Linked DNA regions of Rattus norvegicus. The main gene of each other region encodes a partner of the protein of the gene in region 2 in a complex. Links are inferred from orthologs where the notes say so. Each region holds a gene or a part of one and is shown on either strand. Other genes may lie near its edges. The genes, in order: Bet1l, Stx5, Bnip1, Vti1b and Stx18.

What was found.
Region 1: Stx5 (region 2) and Bet1l share a complex: the UniProt entries of both Homo sapiens proteins name them as parts of the SNARE complex. The link is inferred for Rattus norvegicus from reciprocal best matches to the Homo sapiens genes STX5 and BET1L.
Region 3: Stx5 (region 2) and Bnip1 share a complex: the UniProt entries of both Homo sapiens proteins name them as parts of the SNARE complex. The link is inferred for Rattus norvegicus from reciprocal best matches to the Homo sapiens genes STX5 and BNIP1.
Region 4: Stx5 (region 2) and Vti1b share a complex: the UniProt entries of both Homo sapiens proteins name them as parts of the SNARE complex. The link is inferred for Rattus norvegicus from reciprocal best matches to the Homo sapiens genes STX5 and VTI1B.
Region 5: Stx5 (region 2) and Stx18 share a complex: the UniProt entries of both Homo sapiens proteins name them as parts of the SNARE complex. The link is inferred for Rattus norvegicus from reciprocal best matches to the Homo sapiens genes STX5 and STX18.

The regions. Positions count from the first base shown.
Region 1 is NC_086019.1:205,361,893-205,365,939, forward strand, and holds the start of Bet1l (BET1-like protein), read right to left. Parts: upstream 2,815-4,047; 5' UTR 2,656-2,814; intron 2,011-2,655; 5' UTR 1,901-2,010; coding exon 1,882-1,900; intron 833-1,881; coding exon 741-832; intron 517-740; coding exon 460-516; intron 319-459; coding exon 151-318; 3' UTR 1-150. Other genes in the region: Ric8a (synembryn-A), read left to right, coding at 3,135-3,218, 3,507-3,554, 3,644-4,047. UniProt on the Homo sapiens protein: Vesicle SNARE required for targeting and fusion of retrograde transport vesicles with the Golgi complex. Required for the integrity of the Golgi complex.
Region 2 is NC_086019.1:215,065,352-215,069,340, forward strand, and holds the start of Stx5 (syntaxin-5), read left to right. Parts: upstream 1-1,180; 5' UTR 1,181-1,298; intron 1,299-1,421; exon of another isoform or gene 1,422-1,965; 5' UTR 1,966-1,984; coding exon 1,985-2,209; intron 2,210-2,576; coding exon 2,577-2,647; intron 2,648-2,760; coding exon 2,761-2,816; intron 2,817-3,020; coding exon 3,021-3,091; intron 3,092-3,989. Other genes in the region: Wdr74 (WD repeat-containing protein 74), read left to right, coding at 116-292; Tex54 (testis-expressed protein 54), read left to right, coding at 485-557, 674-855. UniProt on the Homo sapiens protein: Mediates endoplasmic reticulum to Golgi transport.
Region 3 is NC_086028.1:16,890,812-16,893,570, forward strand, and holds the end of Bnip1 (vesicle transport protein SEC20), read right to left. Parts: intron 2,218-2,759; coding exon 2,099-2,217; intron 1,111-2,098; coding exon 914-1,110; 3' UTR 506-913; downstream 1-505. UniProt on the Homo sapiens protein: As part of a SNARE complex may be involved in endoplasmic reticulum membranes fusion and be required for the maintenance of endoplasmic reticulum organization. Also plays a role in apoptosis.
Region 4 is NC_086024.1:103,695,631-103,699,497, forward strand, and holds the end of Vti1b (vesicle transport through interaction with t-SNAREs homolog 1B), read right to left. Parts: intron 1,703-3,867; coding exon 1,529-1,702; intron 606-1,528; coding exon 540-605; 3' UTR 505-539; downstream 1-504. UniProt on the Homo sapiens protein: V-SNARE that mediates vesicle transport pathways through interactions with t-SNAREs on the target membrane. These interactions are proposed to mediate aspects of the specificity of vesicle trafficking and to promote fusion of the lipid bilayers.
Region 5 is NC_086032.1:76,970,926-76,975,239, forward strand, and holds the start of Stx18 (syntaxin-18), read right to left. Parts: upstream 2,802-4,314; 5' UTR 2,788-2,801; coding exon 2,620-2,787; intron 1-2,619. UniProt on the Homo sapiens protein: Syntaxin that may be involved in targeting and fusion of Golgi-derived retrograde transport vesicles with the ER.

The DNA.
Region 1 (4,047 bases), about 9.7 Mb from region 2:
TTACGACAGAGGCAGCCGCAGTCGTCCTGACTTAGGAAGACGAATGACCCGTGATGATAATTTCAAAGGAATATTGTTTCTGTAGTCAGGTCCTTAGGAAGCCAGGATACCAGGTGGACAAGAGTCTGGCTGCCCTTGGCTCCCACTGGCTCACGTCCTTGTCCTCGACAAGAGGTAGGAGAGGATGAAGAAGGCCACAATTAAGACCACAGCCATACCACACAGAAGCTTCCGGTTGTCTCGCCCAGACCGTGCCACCGTGGAAAAGCGCTTCACACTCCCTGTGAGTAGGCCAGTCACACTTGTGAAATCTGAGTCCTGCGGGAGAGACCCAACGGGATCACATAGAGCTGGGATCTGTGACGGCCCAACTGTACTAGCGCTGAAGGGTTAGAGGCAGAAGAGCAGGCGGCATGGGGGTAGAGCTGACTATGATTTGTACGTAATACAGGCACTTACCATGCCATCTAGGTATCGGTTCTGGTCTTCCGTGTCCCTGTCGATGTCCAAAGCCAGCTGGTTGGGATACAGAAGGCACAGTCAAGCAAGGACACAGAGTGCAGTGCCCATCTTCCCTTCAGATTCTGCTAGGTACCTATTACTAGAAAAAGCTAAAAAGGCCAAGGTATTACCTGAAGCATTCCTCAGTCAGCACACCCACGGACAGCATGGCTTCCTTTCTACCCACTCAGCCCCACTCACCAAAGTGTCTCATGGAAGGGAAAAGGGCCACCACTAACCGATTTAAGCCTGGTGACCTTAGAGGCCAGGCTGTCAGCCATCCGCTTGTTCTCTCTGTCTAGAATCTCCTCCACAGCACCAGAACTCTGAGCTGCAAGACAAAGAGGCTGAAGGGTAGAATTCACTCATAAATGTGGTCCTTGGCTCCTTGCTCCAGTGGAGCCTGGCCTGGTGAGACCTCTAAGGGCATTCCACCCATATCCTTCTGCTCACTTAGCATGTTCCACCCTATGTTCCAACAGGTAGACCACCTACACACCAGACAGGAAGCATGGGTCATGGGAGTACTTGTGTGCAATGCCCAGGCAGAGACAGGGAACCAGCAGGTCAATCTACACTACCCTGTTGTATACTGTTCCTGGACCAAAATGAATATTGCCTTAGCTGAAATCACCATCTGAGAGTATGGGACAGGTCTCAATCTGGTAGGGATTATAGGGAAAACAGAACAGAACAACAAAGCAGGTGACAGGAAGGCTGTGTGGGGATGACTTAGGAATCAAGTCCAAGGTAAGTGTAAGAAAGGCCTTTTACTGTAGAAACTACCAATCCCTACTGCTACAACCCACACAGGATCTCTAGAAGCCCCAGAGCACTCTCCTGTGGAAACCTTACTCCGACGGACAGAGACTAGACATGAAGAATTTCTGTCACGGTATGTAGTTGAGAATCACCTGCCTAAGTGTGACTGGCACTGGTCTGAAGCATAAAAATCCAGCCTCGATATGACCCACCTAAGGGGAAAGCCAGCAGCACCAGCAAACAGGGGCGACCAGACTCTAAAAGACAGACGGCTGTGTCCTACCAACCACTACATAGTTAGTATAGTAGAAGCCTCAGTATCACAACTGTCAGACTGAACACAGGCACGGGGGCGGAGGGTGTGTGTGAAACGAGGCACTTGAGCCCTGTAAGTCCCTGCTTGGACCTTCTGCTTCCAGCCCTTGGCATCAACCATACACACAAACTGATGTCATGCCGGCTTGGGTTCCAAGGCAGTGCCAGTTGAAATCTGGCCCTGTTTTTCCTGGAATACGTAAGCGCCATCCCACGCAGATCCCTCCACCGAGGAAAAATTGATGGCTCGTACTCCAGACTTAGACCTTGCCTCCTATCCCAACTACCTTCAGGTGCGCTCACCTCGAGTCCAATCTGCCATCGCGCCTTCCGAGGTCCCACTCGGGGAGTAGGCAACACAGCGACGGACGTGGCACCACTACCTGGGTCTTCCGGTTCCGCCTCAGGTCTAATAACTTCCGGGAGAAGAGTCTGAAGCGGAAGAAACAGACTTGTAGTTCTACACTGGAATGTAAATAAGGGAAGGGCGGGCCGCCAGCATTCGGGCCTACGGATTGGTCAGCAGTATTAGTCCCGCGCTGTGGGTATTACCCGGAGCAGGAGCTCAGACCCCAACCTGGAGCCGAGGGTCGGGTACCTCGGGCGCTGCAAAGTCCCCAAGTGAGAACGACAGGATGGGGAGGACGAGCAGAAGCGAAAGAGACTGGCAAAGGACCTGACACTGAGTAGAGGCAAGCGCCGGTTAGCACAGCGGGCGGCATTATCCTCTGGAACATTGCTTGTGTCACCGTGGGGTGCACCGACTCTGCCTTAAGCTAAGTGGCATGCAGACCTGGCTCCCCACTATACAACGTTCCTACGCTTCTAACCCCAGACACGCCGCGGCTAGCCGCCCCTCCGTTGCTCCTCCCGCGGGAGTCGCTTTTCCACCGGTGTTCTTCACTTCCTTCTCTCCGATCCTTCCTCATACACTCTGCAATTGCCCTTTTCTTTTGATAACCACATTATTTTGGTGGTTTGGTTTTTTGATTGTTTTTAGATAGGTCTGCCCGTTTCTGCCTCTCGAGTGCTGAAATTTAAAAAAGCGTGCGTTACTATGCCCGGCTAACCACGTACATTATTTTGACCATCCAAGTCGTACTTCTCTTTCCTTATTTCCCGTGGAAGATGAGCATCAGGAAGATGACCGCGAGAATCGTCTTCCCCAACTGACTAAGCGGCCAGGAGCCGGCGCTCCCTCTTTTATCACAGTACGGGAACAAGAGTGTAAGGAGAAAGGTTTACGCGCCGGCCAAGCCACACCCCACTCCCCACCCCCGCCCGCCAGGAAGTCGGGCTAGAGAGAAGGGCTCAAAAGGAGGATACTGCTTAGTTAGCTAGCATCGCTGCTCCAAGACAAGCCGCTCAGCGGCCACAGCCGGGTTGCTCCACCTTAAGCCGGAGGCCAGCCCCGCGCCTGTACACACCCTAGGCTCGGCTGTTCTCCCAGCATTCCTCACGCGTGGACGCTGGGCTTCCGGACCTGGGCGGAGTCCCCGGGTTTGGCCGATTGCGTCTTCCCAGCCCAAGTCTTCTAGCACCCCGTGCCAGGGGCCATGGAGCCCCGGGCAGTTGCGGATGCCTTGGAGACGGGAGAGGAAGATGCGGTGACAGAAGCTCTGCGGTCGTTTAACCGAGAGGTGAGAGGCATCCAGCTGCCGAGGAAATTGCAGGAAGTGAGGAAGCAGCCGGTTGCTCGCCACTCGGCTGGGGTGTGCGTGCGAGTGTGGCAGGGAGCAGGGCGGTGGGTGGTGGGCTGGGCCACGGCGGTGCCTCTGTGGTAGTCAGGTGTATGGGTGGCGAGGGTGGGCCTTGCTTTACGTACACAGCGATGGCTGCTGCTTCAGAGGTAGAAGCAGACCTGCTGCTTCTCGAGGAGCACAGGTCCTACCTGCGTGTGGAACTGAGCTTCCTGGGTCTCCCTGCAGCATTCCCAGAGCTTCACCTTCGATGATGCACAGCAGGAGGACAGGAAGGTAGGTGTCAGCCCAAGGGGGTTCCTAGGGCAAGCACGGGCTGCCCCAAGAAGAGGGCCTAGTGGAACCATTTTTGTCCCTTCCCACAGAGACTCGCAAAGCTGCTGGTCTCCGTACTGGAGCAGGGCTTGTCACCAAAACACCGTGTCACCTGGCTGCAGACTATCCGAATCCTATCCCGAGACCGCAGCTGCCTGGACTCATTTGCTAGCCGCCAGAGTTTACACGCACTAGCCTGCTATGCCGACATTGCCATCTCAGAGGAGCCCATCCCACAGCCCCCAGACATGGATGTCCTCCTCGAGTCTCTCAAATGCCTGTGTAATCTTGTGCTCAGCAGTCCTACAGCACAGATGCTAGCAGCAGAGGCTCGACTGGTGGTGAGGCTAGCGGAACGTGTGGGACTGTACCGCAAAAGGAGCTATCCCCACGAAGTCCAGTTCTTTGACTTAAGGCTCCTTTTCCTGCTAACAGCCCTTCGCACTGATGTGCG
Region 2 (3,989 bases):
AAGGGTGAGGTCCTTCAGAACACAAGGGCATTGGTTTTTTGGTACCTAGAGGAATTATTTTTCAGCCAGTCTGTTTCCCTGTCCCTGATTCCTGAATGTCCTTCTTGATCATCAGGATGAGCCCCAAGAACCTCAAGAGCCCAACCTAGTGCCCCCAGAAGACACAGAGACAGATGAACTTTGGGCGTCTTTGGAGGCAGCTGCCAAGCGAAAGCTCCCTGATTTGGACCAGAAACAAGGTGCTCTCCAAAGAAGGAAGAAAAAGAAGCGTCCTGGATCCACCAGTCCTTGAAGCCCCTTGCTCACTTTGTTAATAAACAGCCCAACACATACTGAGATCCTGGACCTTTTGTGATGGGAAAAAGGAGAGCTTGTAGGTGGGAGGGGTTCCCTCACCTGGCCGCGGGAGACCTGACGTCATAAAAGCTAGGCCCAGAGCTAAGCTGGCTGGGGAGGGTGGAGGAGTGCTGCGCCTTTCGGGGCCATGGGCTGCTGTCAGGACAAGGACCATCCGGATGAGCAAGGACGGGAAGAAGTAACAGAGGAAGGCAGGGAAGGTAGGACTAGACACAAAAAAGGTCTCAAGACCGGGAATGGGAGTGGGAGGTGCCCCAAAGGGACTGCCCAGAGGAGGGAGCAGAACTGAATTAAGTGGATCCTGTGGTCCTTGTAGGCAACGAAGGGGACAACCTAGGCCGCCGTAAACAAAGATCTAACGAAAGTCTTCTGATCACCGTGCTGTGGCGCAGGCTATCCATGTTCAGCCGTCGGGGGTCTTCACGGTCAGGCAAGCAAGACAATCAGATGCAGGAGCGCAAACGTGAGGGCAGCCACAAGGAACCAGAAAAGGGCTGACTACAACCCTGGTCTCAGTCCTCCCCAACATCCAGAGAATAAAGTTAATATTGCGAATCTGCTGAAAACACTTTTCTTTTTTTTTTTTTTTTTCGGAGCTGGGGACCGAACCCACTGAGCTAAATCCCCAACCCCCCAGCCTCAGAGTCTTTAAGGCTCCTGTAGCCCAGCCCCTCGAGATCTGTTCTGCTCTTTAGGGGCGGGGCCGCAGCGGCAGTCTAACCAATAAGAGAGCGGAGTCGAGTTTGCATGAGCAGGGGTGTGTTCCTTCTGTCACTGGGCTAAAAAAGAGGCGTGGCGCAGTAGCCACGTCACGGGGTTAGGGGTACGTGTAGGTGACGTGGCGGCTCCAGTTCTTTGGTCCGGCTTCCACTGCTTACAAGTCCGGCGAGGAGGCGGCAACGACCTGAGGAGAGTAGCGGTGGCGGTAGGCAACAGAAGAGGTAGGGTTTCGCTCCAGTAGGAGTCCAGCCTCGGTCGGTCGGCTCAGTTCGGGGCAGCAGCTTGACTGGGGGGGAAGGGAGCCAGGGGCAAGTCCTGCTGGCGGCTCCGCGAAGCGAATATCCCGGTGTCCAATCAGGAAAGGTCTTGTTGAGAAAAACTTCGGCCCTGTCCAATCAGTGGCTGTAGTCTTCCAACAGGCGGAACTTTGACGGAGGTGGGACTTCCTGTTTCAAATAAACACTTAAGAGGTTTTTTTCCCCCCCTCCGCCCTCTGGAGTGTGCCCACCTCTGGAGGTCCGTTGCCGTTTTCTATGAAAGGGTGAAGGAAATCACGTATACCAGAAGGCACGATTAAGACCTGGGCCAACTGCAAAGGTCTGGCTGGAAGTTCAGGGCCGCAGGACCAGGCTGTGGCTGTTTTCTCGACTTTAGGGCTCCCGGCCGGTGTTCTTGTAGTCATCCAAGTTGGAAGGAGAATCTGAGGAGGCTTCGCCTTGGGCCTGGAGGAAGCTGACCATTCTCGCCGTGTCCCGGGTGCAGGATCTGCGGGTGGCCTTGGGCTCGAAAGTCTGTCAAATACGGGAAAGGGACTGAGGATTTGCTAGTTGAGGGTAAAGTTTGGGGAAACAGGCCGTTTGGAGAATGACATTCTCCTCTCCACAACAGTCCGAGGTTATGCGACTCGATGATCCCGCGGAAACGCTACGGATCTAAGAACACGGATCAGGGTGTCTACCTGGGTCTCTCAAAGACACAGGTTCTGTCCCCTGCAACTGCTATCAATAGCAGCAGTGACATCGCTCCTTTGCCCACCCCGGTGGCCCTGGTCCCCTCCCCTCCCGACACTATGTCCTGCCGGGATCGGACCCAGGAGTTCCTGTCTGCCTGCAAGTCGCTGCAGAGCCGTCAGGTAAGGACCTGGAGTGGAAAGACCGGCGTGAGCCCATTTAGTTAATGCTTAGGTTTTGTTTGCTAGTTGTCTAAACTTGCTTAACAATTCTTAAGTAGTCGAATCTTACCAATAGGAGAGGAAGAATTGTCTTCAGGAGAAATTGAGAATACTTTAAGTAACTTGTCCTAAATACCACAAACCTAATCCTAATGTAGGATTCAAGCCTGCATCTAATTGTTTTCTTAGCTACAAACCACTGATAAATTTAGATTGTCTGACACCAGCAGCACTAGAGTGTTTAGTGGTTTATGTGAGGGAGCAGTGAAAAGCTGAGCATAAATAGCGAAGGGAATTAGAGTAGCAACTTTTTGATACTCCTTTTCAGAATGGAATCCAAACAAATAAACCAGCTCTGCACGCTACCCGGCAGTGCAGCGAGTTTACCCTCATGGCCAGGTGAGTTAAGAGGGGCTTTGTGGTGGGGTGACACAGTGTTTTAAGAAGTAGATCTGCCTGGGATTGGCTGAATGGAATTGGTCCACAACTTTCTCACTGATGATCATTTGCAGGCGCATTGGGAAAGATCTCAGCAATACATTTGCCAAGCTGGAGAAGCTAACAATCCGTGAGTGTTTGGGAGGCCTTTCCTAGGTGGGACGGTGAAACATAGTACTAGGAGGTGAGGCTCATGGAGGTTTTGTTTTATTTTTTCCTACGGTGCTGGGGATTTCTACCTTAAGGCAAGTGTCTCTATTACGGAACTGCTATCCTAGCTCTGTGAGCCTTGCTATTACCCTCACATGTTGTAATGTTTCATCCGTCTCTGCAGTGGCAAAGCGCAAGTCCCTCTTTGATGATAAAGCAGTAGAAATTGAGGAACTAACATACATCATCAAACAGGTGAGCCGCTAGCCATCAGGAGAGCCCAGCATTCTAATTAGATTACTTCCATCATTTTCCATCGCCATGAATCCCCAGGGTAAGTATCTAGACCCGTGTCCAAACACCCTGCTCCTCCATTGAGTCAGTAGACACTTAGGATCGTCTAGTGTTTATAAAGCACTGTTCTAGATGCTGGTGAGAGAACTGTGAAGCAAGATGATTGTCTTCAAAGGCTCGTTTTCCTTGCGAGTTACCTGGCATCAAAAGCCTTGGCTTAAAATGAGTAGGTGTTAGCATAGAAAAGGTTTACAAAGTGATGAATGAAGCAGGATTCTGGGACGGTTGACCAAGTATGTGAAATCTGAGCTGGGAGGTAGGTTGGGGAGGCTATATGCAGCAGTTCAACCAGGTGGTGCCTATGTCTTTAGTCTCAGCCCTCAGGAAGCAGAGGCAGGCAGACCTCTGTAGTGAGGAGAATGTTTTTGTTGTATTCACAGGTGTAGGTCTGTGGGGCTGCTTCGAACTTGGCCAGCTGCAGATAGTCTATGATTGTGTGATGTTTGGAATTCTGGGAATTGTTCACAGGGTATATAAATGCTAGAAGCCCCCTCACCCCCAAGAGGTAGGGTTGGTGGTTATTTCAAGGGGAGTTAGTAGTCATGCTCAAAGAAGAACTAAGAAAGAAACTAGATTCACCGACCTCTATCTCTTTTCTCTTCCCCTTCTTTCTCTCCTATTTAGTTGATAGGGGAGCACAGAGTGTGTATATGTTGTGGGGTGGGTGAGGAAGAGTGGGAAAAGGAGGTCCACAAAGTAGCAAAGGCACGATACAGATCTCTGAGTTTGAGGCCAACCTGGTCTACATAGTGAAGTTCCAGGACAGGGTTGCAGAGAAATTTTCCCAAACAAACAAAGC
Region 3 (2,759 bases), on a different chromosome or scaffold from region 2:
TGATGTCTCAGAATTAGCCTGTGGCAGCTGCTCTGTGCTTCTTTAACTTTTTTCTATTTGTGTGTATGCAGGGACGCAGCACACGCCACAGCTGCACAACTTCCTGGCGCTGGTTCTCTCCTTCCCCTGCTGGGACAGAGGGGACTCAGATTTATGGGCAAGAACCTCTAACAACTGAGCCATCTCAGTCGCCCTCAGCAAATTAAACACGGCATGCACACGAGAGTTACTTTACATATAGGAATGTACCGTGTGCCTGCCTGGGGCCCACAGAGGGCATCAGGTCCCCTGGAGCTGGAGTTAGAGGTGGGTGTGAGCCACCATGTGGGTGCTGGGAACAGAACCCTGGCTTTTGAAAGAGCAGCAAGTGCTCTTAACCTCTGAGCCCTCCCTTGGCTGCAGTGCCTCCTTGGTGAATGAGGAATCTAACTTCATGTCCGAGGGGTCAGGACACGAGGAGGCGTACACAATCCCAGAGAGATAGCTTCTAATACTAAGCAGTAATCACTCTATTAAATAAATGAGGTTTATTCAGGGAACAGCCATGGGCTGTCGTCACCTCCCCTCCCACGGGCCTCACCACTCCTCCCTCCACCACACCCAGCATTCACCATTCATGCCTCTGGACATGGCGAAAGGTGCAGTAAGTCCGGGAGTTGACGTGTTCTATGTGGCAGCCGCAGTGCTTGGAAGCTGGGTGAGTGTGGAGCGCCCTGGTCCAGAAGGTTCCGGTCTCCTCTATTCTACTCACCCTTTCCAAGCCCCCTGGCAGGAAACTGGGCTGCTGTGTTTCCCTCTCTTGATTCACTGAGCACCCGAGGCAGATGGGAAGGCCAGTTTGGCAGCCCGGCCAGTCCTTGAGAGCCCCGGGTCCTGACGCTGGAATGCACGGGCCAAAGCCGGCAGCTCTCCCTTACAAAAATGGGAAGAGGCGCTTTTTCACAATATAGAGGACCGTGGCAAGGAACAGGGCCAGGGCGAGGAAGATGAGAAGCTTGTCCGTTAGTTCCCGGCGGTTGTATTTTGTGATGAGCTTCCGGCCCAACTGAATGGTTCCTGACATGGACTTAAACTCTTCGTTTGCATCCAGGAGAGTCCGTGAAGAGCTGACTACAACAGGAGAGGAAGGAGCCTGAATCAGACTGTACCTCCCAGGTAATAAAGACCTGAAGCTGCTGGCTGGCTGTCAGCAAGGCCAGTGCCTGAGCTCTGTGTGTGTGTGTGTGTGTGTGTGTGTGTGTGTGTGTGTGTGTGTGTGTGTGTGTGTGTGTGTGTGTTTCATTCTTATTCTCGTTAACTATGTGTGTATCTGTGTGGGTGTATGCACGTGGGTGCAGATGCCCACAGAGTTATACACATGGGTGCTGGGTACTGAATTTGGGCTTTCTTCAGGAGCACTTTCTGCTTTTAAGCATTGAGCCATCCCTCCAGCGCCCTTACTATTAGCTTTTAGATGCGCTGAGCTTTTTTCCGGGATGATGTCTGGGATAGGGGATGAACTAAGGGTAAACATGAAACAAGGTGACTGAGTGACAGCCGTGAGAGCAAGAAGTTACCAAACCTCGTTGTCTACTTTGGTTGACATGTGAAGTCTCATGAACAGCACCTCCTTCCTGTTTCCTACACTGAAAGGCCCTGGAGGGGCAGTCTCTGCAAGGAGCCATGGCAAGAAGGCACTTGGCAGGAATGCAGTGCTGTCCAACAGCCTCTCCCTGGCCACCGGCTGGTCCATGTGAAAGGAACTCACAGGAGTGGTCTTTCCAGGACCCTAATTCCCAAACGTGCCTGGCAATACTAGACCCATGAGCCCACGCTGCAAACCAGACTCCCGGACCCCTTGCAAGCACTGCTGACACCATCTCCAGAGAGGCCAGCCAGTTCTGCTTTCACAGGAGCCTAGCAACGCTTCCTCTGGGAGGCACTGATGGCGCGCAGCGTGTCTAGCACAGCTGCACAACTGGAGGAAGAGGAACATAACGCCTCCCTCACAGGATGTCTCACCATTTCCTAGGACAACTTGGGAAGCTTCGGGTGGGGAGAGCCGGAGAACTGCAGCGGTGCCAGGGTGTGTGCTCTGGAATAGCGTCCTCCTCCTTACCTAGAGTCTGCATAGCCTCCTCACTCTGCTGCACCTGCTGTGACATCATCCTGCTGATCCCCATGAGACTCTCTGTGATGGTGCTGGATGTCTGGGCCAAACTTTCTTTGGTAGTTTTCCTGCAAGTCCAGAGGAAGGAGCAATAGCAACAAAAGCCTAGCTTGCAAAATGCCCCATTTTTAACCTATCACATCAGTGCTTTTCTGTTTGTGCCTTGAGATGGGACCTCAAAGTGTAGCTCAGGCTAGTCTAGAAGGCAGAATGTCCTCACCTCAGTCAACCCCAAGTGCTCGGATGACAGGTGTGTTGTAACACAGCCAGCAAGCACACGTTTATTTCCTTCCTTCCTTCCTTCTTTCCGTCCTTCCTTCCTTCCTTCTCTTGTTTTTTTGAAACATGGTTTCTCTGTGTAGACCAGGCTGGCCTCAAACTCATAAAGATCAATTTGTCTCTGCCTCCCAAGTGCTGGGATTAAATGTTTGCACCACTACCAACTGGTTTGCACATTTCTAAAACATCAGTCAGTGTGGCTAAACTGAACCCACGTTCTCGAGCCCCATTAGGGAACGAAAACCACATTGCTGTCTGTAAAGCAACTTGCAGTAGGTACACAAAGATTCGGAAATGTCTGTTCACTCCCAGAAAACTCCTTCAAAAGAAC
Region 4 (3,867 bases), on a different chromosome or scaffold from region 2:
TTTTGTTATTTTTAAATACTTCTTGCTAACAAGACAGGACGTCCCAAAAGGGCCTGCCATGCAAGGCAAGAACTAAGTACTATCCATGCTCACAGGTCAGGTGTTTACAAACATGTTCCAGGGAGCAGAGAGCTCTTCTTAGTTCCTTAGGTCTCTTCTAAGAGACAGAAACTGGGATTGACATTGGTCAGTAGACAGGTTTTCCACTACTTTATGTTGGAACAATCTATGAATTTAACAAAGACCTCATCCTCAGATATTTAACTATATAAACTATAATATAATAGAGAATATCTTCTCCTTCGGTTGGTGAATGCCTAGAGGAGTGCTTGGGTAGCACTAAGGTAATTTATCAGGGTGTTTGTTAAGTTACTGGTCTAAGCTCTCTATATTTCTTAGTTGAAATATATTGAATATCAAGAATTTGTGGGGGTTGGGGATTTAGCTCAGTGGTAGAGCGCTTGCCTAGCAAGTGCAAGGCCCTGGGTTCGGTCCTCAGCTCCAAGAAAAAAAAAAAGAATTTGTGGGTTTCTTGAAACTTACTTTCTGGACATAGAGCGAAGAATCTTTCGGCTTTTGCTTAAGTTTTCATTTGTGTTTACCAGCTGAAAAAGAAAATAACAGATCATTTCTTCTTCCTTTCAAAAAAACTTATATAATTTGAACATGGGCATTAAAAAGGTCTATAATTCCAGTTCCAGGGGATCTGATACCCTAACACAGACTTATAATATATGTAGTCAAAACAGCAATGCACATAAAATAAAAATAAATCTTAAAAACACCCCACAGAAATATAGGAATATGCTTTTGTTTTAGTCCCAGGTATGGGATATAGGGATACTTCAGGTTGTTCACAGCAGCTGACTTTGATTGCTTTGTGCAGGGGTGTGATAGTCTGTGATTGTGAGATATTTGGAATTCTGGGGACTTTTCAGAGTCCCCAGAAGCAGGATGGGTTGGCTTTTGTTGGTTGGTGGTTGCTGGTCATGATTTCTCAAGAAGTTATGCACAAAGAGATGAGAAGAAATTAGATATCTTGATGAAGATCAAACTTGCCACAAGAAACTCAATCCCCCTAATCAGCAGGAAGTAGCCTAACTATAACATCACCCCCTTTCTTTTCTTTTTTCTTTCCTATCTAGTGTTAGGGGGTTGAAAGGGTGGAAAAGGGTAGAAGAAAAACTCACAAAATAGCAAAAGACCAGTTACACCACCATATTAAGAAAGGATTTCTTAAAATACTGGCTGGCCAACAAATTCCAAAGATCCAACTATTTCTAATCCTCACCCCCAAACTCTGGGGTTCCAAACCCATGAGCATCTGTATTGATCTTTATTGACAGACCCATCTCCCTTAGCTCTGTACAAGTACTTCTAATGCGGAATCTTTCAGCTGAGGAATTTAAAACTTGTGAAAAGGGGAGGCGGGCTGTTATTCCCAGAAGTCAGAACTGGTGTAGTGTCTGGCCTTAGTGTGGTATCTGGGTATGAGGACCCCCCTACTTTACACATTGCCCAGACTTACTCTACTCTTGGTACGTTCCAACTGGTCTCGTTGCTCCCCCAACTCTTCTATGATTTCTGAACCAATTTGGTCAGTTTCTGCGGCAATCCGATGAGAACGCTCAATGCTTTGGGTGGCTCGGTTCAGGCTTTCAGTGCCTTGCAGAAGTAATGCTCTTTGAGACTGCAGCCGATTCTGATAGCAGTAAGGAAGAAAAATGTTAGCTACTTCTGTTATAAATTTATTGTCAGTTATTCCTTGTGGCTTTCTTCTTATGTACAAGGATACAGTAAACCATCATTTCCCTAGCTTTTCCTTTCTGTCTGCAGGGCACTGATTCTAGGGCACTCCTGCTGAGGTCCTATGTGTAAAATAGTAGTCTGCATATAACATGTACATATCCTCCTAATACATTAAATCATCATTAGATTACTGATACCTGAGAAAAGGTAAATATTATGTATATTTATTGTTCAAGAGAATCATGGCAAGAACATCAAAAGATGTTCAGCAAATAAAAACATTTGTAAAGCTTTATGGGTACCAGAAGAGGGTATCGGATCCTTCAGAATTGGAATTTTTTGAGACAGGGTCCTACAGTGTAGTTCTGGCTAACCTAGAACTTACTATGTACACCAGCCTGGCTTCAACTCCCAGAGATCCATCTGTCTCTGCCTTCCACGTGCTAGGATGAAAAGCTAGGTGCTACCATGCCTGGATAGATGTAATATTAAAAAAAAAAAACAAAACATTTTCAATCCAAAGCTGACTGAAGAGTGCTTTTAAAATTGAATCAAAAATTCTAATGAAAAATAAGATCCTGTTCAAGGTCAGGATTAAAGCAGGCAGATTCCACTTCCCTTAAGACTTCTGAAAAAATAATGAAAAAGAATTGGAGCATTTCCCCTGTGAACCAGTTAAAATCCATTAACATGTAACTGGCTATTAGCAACTTCAGTCAGCATCCAGACTGAGTGAGAAGGTAGTAGTGTGTGCAAAAATGACCTAATAATGCAATTAGCTTGTAACTTTAAAACTCTCTGCTTAAGCATTTATTCATTTTTGTTTTTTAAGGCGGCCTCACTGTAACTGAAGTTGAATTCAAACTCATCATGACTGTCCTGGCTCAATGTCCACGTGCTGGGACTGTAAATGTGTGCCATCATGCCTGGCTTGCCTTACACTTCAACAGTGCCACAAGTAAACAACGAGCTTCCAAAACACTAGAAACTAACTAATTCACTCAAGTTCCCACTTGGCTGGTGCTGATGTAGAGACCATAAATAACGTATTCTTTCTCAGCTCAGAAGTCATTAAGAACTAGAGACATTGGTGCATTCTTAAAAAAACTTCCATGGCCATGAGTGGCTCATGCCCAACAGCACTCTCAAGTTATCACCATGCTGGTGATTGTTCACAGGGAAGGGAGAGTCTGGACCTCACTCGAGCTTCCCTAGCTTCCCAAGAACTCTTACTCTTCACTGAAATTTTCTCTCTCTAAACACAGCATGACAACAAAATCGGCCCAGGTCAGGCCAGAATGAGTAGTGATGGACAGGGGTTCAGCTCAGAATTTACTACAGAGCAGGTGGCAAATGGCAGAAGATCTCATCAGCAATCAGATTCTGAAGCCAAGCACTGAGGAGGCAGAGACAGGCAGATCTGAGCTCCAGGATAGTCAGGGCTACATAGAGAAATCCTGCATCCAAAAATAAATAAATAAATAAAAAATAAATAAATTAGCCTCTTGGGCCGGGATGGTGGTGCACAAGTTTAATCCCAGCACCCACAGAGAGGCAGAGGCAAAAGGATTTTTGTGAGTTCAAGGCTAGCCTGAGCTACACTAGGGAGTTCAAGAACTATATACTCTCAAAAAATTTTTTTCTTAAATTAGATTCTTAGAATGTTTATACAGACCAGTAAATAAAGAAACCACCAAGGGTCAAATAAACCCATGCATGTGGTCCTCGTCTGTAATCTTAACACCTAGGAGGCAGATGTGGGAGGACAGCTCTAGCTATGAGGCCAGCCTGGTTCATATAGAGAGGTTCAGTCCAGCAAAAATGGTGCTGATGAGAAGGCTCAGTACCAAGTCTGAAGACCTGAGTTCAGTTATGGGGACTCCTGCATGTGGTCCTTTGACTTCAACACATGTGCTTATGCATATATATATATATATATATATATATATATATATATATATATATGCACATACAAAATAAATAATGTAATAAAGGAGGGCTGGAGCAATGGCTCAGTGATTAGTCCTGGTTGTCTTCCAGAGACCCTGGGTTTAATTCCCAGCACCCACACACTGGCTCACAACCATCTGGAACTCCAGGTTCAGGGGATCAATAGTC
Region 5 (4,314 bases), on a different chromosome or scaffold from region 2:
CCGAAATCCCCTATTCCTAAGGACTGAAAATCTGTGCAGCATTAATAAACCACCCAGGGAAGAGCCTCCACACACCAAAACTGTGACGTCCACACACTGTGGTAACAGTTTGGCCAGACTCAGAAGAGAGCTATGATGACACCTTATTTTCCTGTCCTCTTACTTCAACCTGAGTCATGCCTCTTTCAACATAATACATGGTATGATAAGACATTTTATATATGACATATATGATAGACCCAATGGATGTTTAAAGTCTGTTTTGGATAAAGATGAACCATTTTATAGGTAAATAAACCTTGCTTAATAGCATGAATCTGGCTAATAGCTAACATGGTTAAGACAACAATGTGGTCTCCTGGGTCTTCTTCAGGGTTTTACTGTCTACATAATATTGGACTGTCTAGAGCAGTGGTTCTTAGCCTGTGTGTTGTGACCCCTTTTGTGGGGTTGAATGATCCTGTCACAGGGGTCACATTTAAATATCCTGAATATTAGATATTTACATTATAATTCATAGTAGTAGCAAAATTATATCTATGCAGTCTCAATGAAAATAATCTTATGATCGTTGGGGGCATGGTCACTACAACATGAGGACCTGTATTAAAGGGTCACAGTATTTGGAAAATTGAGAACCACTGGTCTAGAAGGCAAAGTTCAAATTCTGAAGAGTGATCTACAAGGTCCTTCTAGATTTCCCTCTGGGTACCATACCACTCTTTTTTTCTGAGTGTCTCACATTCTTACGTTAATCAAACCCAACTTAAGTTAAGCTGGTACTATCTCATGCCTTTGTGCACGTTGGTTTCTTTTTTTAAAAAAAAAAAAAGTATTTTCTTAATTCATTGGGAATTCCGTATGTGTTCTGATATTTACCACCATTCCCCTCTAACTCCTCTCAAATCCACTCCCACCTCTTTACCTCCCCTAACTTCATGCCCCCCCCCAGACTTTTTTCTTTAAAAGCCCATCAAGCCTAATTGCACTGTCCCTGTATTCCTGGGTGTGAGGGCATCCAGGAGTATGGCCAGTATGCTGTTGTTAACTTAGTTGTGATGCCCTTCCTGACCTTATCTGTAATGAAACCAACTACTCTTATTTTAGAATGGATATTTGATATCATTGTCCCATGAAGCCTTTCTCCCAAGCGGAACTAACTACTGTTTCCCTTGTGCCCTACAGAATACCCGCAGGAATCAAGGCAGGGGGTTTGTTTATATTTGTATCTCTCTAGCACTGAAACTTTGTAACTCAAGAATAGAATCCTGTTACTCTAAAACAATGATGGTCACAAGTTCAGTTCTAAGTAGATGCTTATTGTTGGAGGGAGGGGCATCATTTATCTGGTCCATACCTTCCATACCTTGAGTATTAAACAGTCATTCATTAACTTGTGCATATATATATATATATATAAAACAATATTCAAGTGTCATCTGGTATGGGGCCCATGCCTTTAATCTCAGCACTTGGGAGACAGAAACAGTCACCTTTCTGTGAGTTCAAGGCTAGCCTGGTCTACATGGAAAGACCCTGTCTCAAAAAGAGAAGTATCAAGCAATGGATTATGTGCCAAGCAGAGGTGAGCTTACTGGAAAACTAATTATACTTAAAGTTTAGGTTCCCTTGACTTGTACCTTTCAATGCTTTGGACCACTCTGTGTGTGTGTGTGTGTGTGTGTGTGTGTGTGTGTGTGTGTGTGTGTCTTTAAAAGAACAGACTGTATATGCCTCCTGGTGCAACAAAAATAACATTTACCCTTAGTGTCAAAGATACAAAGGGATATAATGCAAACAATCTCCTTTTGCAAACAATCTCCTTTTGCAAACAATCTCCTTTTCCCTGTTTAGTGGAAACAATATCTATTCATTTGTTTATCCATCCATCCATCCATCCATCCATCCATCCAAGGAATATTTACTAAGCAATGTTTTCAGTCACACATATAGAAATAATGTCAACATGTTCCTACCCTTATGGAGAAGGTTCCTATGTTGGGGGACACAAAAGCCGGTTGTGTCCAGAGAACAGAAAGCAGTTTAGAGGACAGTTACAACACTAGGTGTTGCTTAAGTGTTGCAGTTCTGAAGGAAAAAGCTTTTACCCTACACTGGTGATATCCTAAACCAGTTTCTGGAGGTACTGAGTTCTACCTATTCCTGGAGGCAAGGACAAAGGAGAGTTCTGCTGAGCGTAGATTTTTATTAAACCCTATGCACAAGAGGAGGTCCAAACACACACATGAAAGGGCAAGCGGAGAGAGTGGTGAGTTTTAATACAGGAAGCGTAAGACTGTGGGAACTCTTCCAAGGCACTCAAATCAGCAGCCACGGCGAACTCACTGCCTCTAAAAGTTAGCCTGAGTTCAAGGACATCCAAGAGCCTCTTCAAAACTTGCTTCCTTCAGTGCCCAGATATGCGTCCCTCTTCGTGAGAATAAACCTGTCGCCACCCCGAGCCAGCTGTTGGCTTCGTGAGACCGACTCTTCTGTCTTGCTAGAGACTCCCTCACTTCACCAAGAGCTAACGAGGCAGGGCCCAGTTAGGGGTGCAGGGTCCGCGGTTGCAGATCCGCCCCTGACTCCCACCAGTCGTTCCCATAGCAACCAGCTTACCACTTCACGGGCCCGGCTGGAGAAGTCTCCCTTGGGCCGAGGGCTTCTGCGGAACAGCTCGTCTCGGCTGCCATCGGCTCCACCACCCACGGCCACTCCAAGAGCCTTATTCCGCGTCTTCACTGTCTTGACGCTAGCCCTGAAGAGCAGTGTGATGTCCACCGCCATAGCGACCCGCGCCGCGGCCCGAAGCCGGTCGGCACACGTCAGCAGCAAGCGACCCCAGCAAGAGCTCGGTCGCTGAGGGACGTTCCGATTTCGCTTCCGCCTGGGAACTGTGAGCAGAAAAGGAAGGTTCCGCTCTCAGCCCGTGTACTGCGTCGAGTAGAGAAAGGTTCCGGCCTCGGCCCAGCGCAGGGAATCTCCGTTCCAGACAGCTACCCGCAGTGCATCAGCACCTCTTTCTCCTCACTGCAAACTTCAGCGGGGTCAGACGCTTGGAAGTTTCACAGGGTTTCTAAAACTGGGCTTCAGGAACGGAAGCATCAGGAAACTAGAAAGATCGCTCACGTATGATTCTTTAGAAGACAGGCGTGAGGTTTGGTTGACAGGTGGGGAGTGTTAACACCTTTGACCTATGTCGTCTAGGGATCCACTTAAGAAGCAATGAACTATGACCGTCTGGGTGCTTGTACTAGGAAAGGGTAAGTGTATAGAGGTAGAGTCCAGAGGGCTCTCTTCTTAAACCTTCAGCCAGTTCGGTAAAGTGAAGCTAGCACCTTCCTAGAATGCACAGAAAATTAAACAGAATGCGCATTCTCATGTTGTTTAACTCTTACTACGCAGCCCGTAAATGCTGCAGTTGATGATAATATTATTGTCCTCAGTCTTTTTTACTTATGGTGTAGAAGAGGCTTAGAGCAGAGATCCCTGAGCGGGGGGATATGGAGAGCAGGAAGTTATGAGAGCCAGAGAAAAGTGAAGCATACTGAGCTTGATGATAACTGTGTTATGTTCCTCCTAAATAAGTAGTTTTGAAAAGCGCTCTCTTGAGTCATAGTTATTATAGAGAAAGGAGGAAATTGAAAAGAAGAGAGTTACTTAACTTGACTAAAGTCAGCTAATAAAATTTTTCTGGACGCTTTGTTCATGGTTTATTTTATTTTGTGTACACCTTTAATTAAAAATACAATTATGCCACTTTCTCTCCTTCCCTTTTCTCTCTCCAGCCTCCAATCCTCTCCCTCTGATTTCTTCCATGTCTCCCAACTCAGTCTCAAATTTATAGCCTCTTCTTCCTTAATTGTAATTGTTGCATATATATGTAAGTATCCATGGCTATGCAAGCACAATCTGCTGAAACTGTTTATGTGTGTATGATTTCAGGGATTATCATTTCGTATTGGACAACCAATTAGAGGGATAGGCTAACTCTTCCTCTCTCAGCAGCCATAGTTGCCTGGAGTTTTCTTGTCCAGGAGTGTGACCCCCATGGTTTAGTCTTATTTCAGTATCAACTTTTCTGGATTTTGTTTTCCTTATAAAAGGAAGCACACTATGATGTGTGCTAAAATTGGGTTTTTAGCTGTCATGGAGATGAAAAGCGAGTTTTGTAATAATTCCAGGCTCATATTGGCCTTTACATCTGTGTGTTCTGATCAGCTGTGTGGCTGGGTTTCCCAGAGACACTGATCTAACAATAGGCTAAATGCAGGGCAGCTGTTTTCCATTAAGCCAGACTTAAAAGAGAATTGC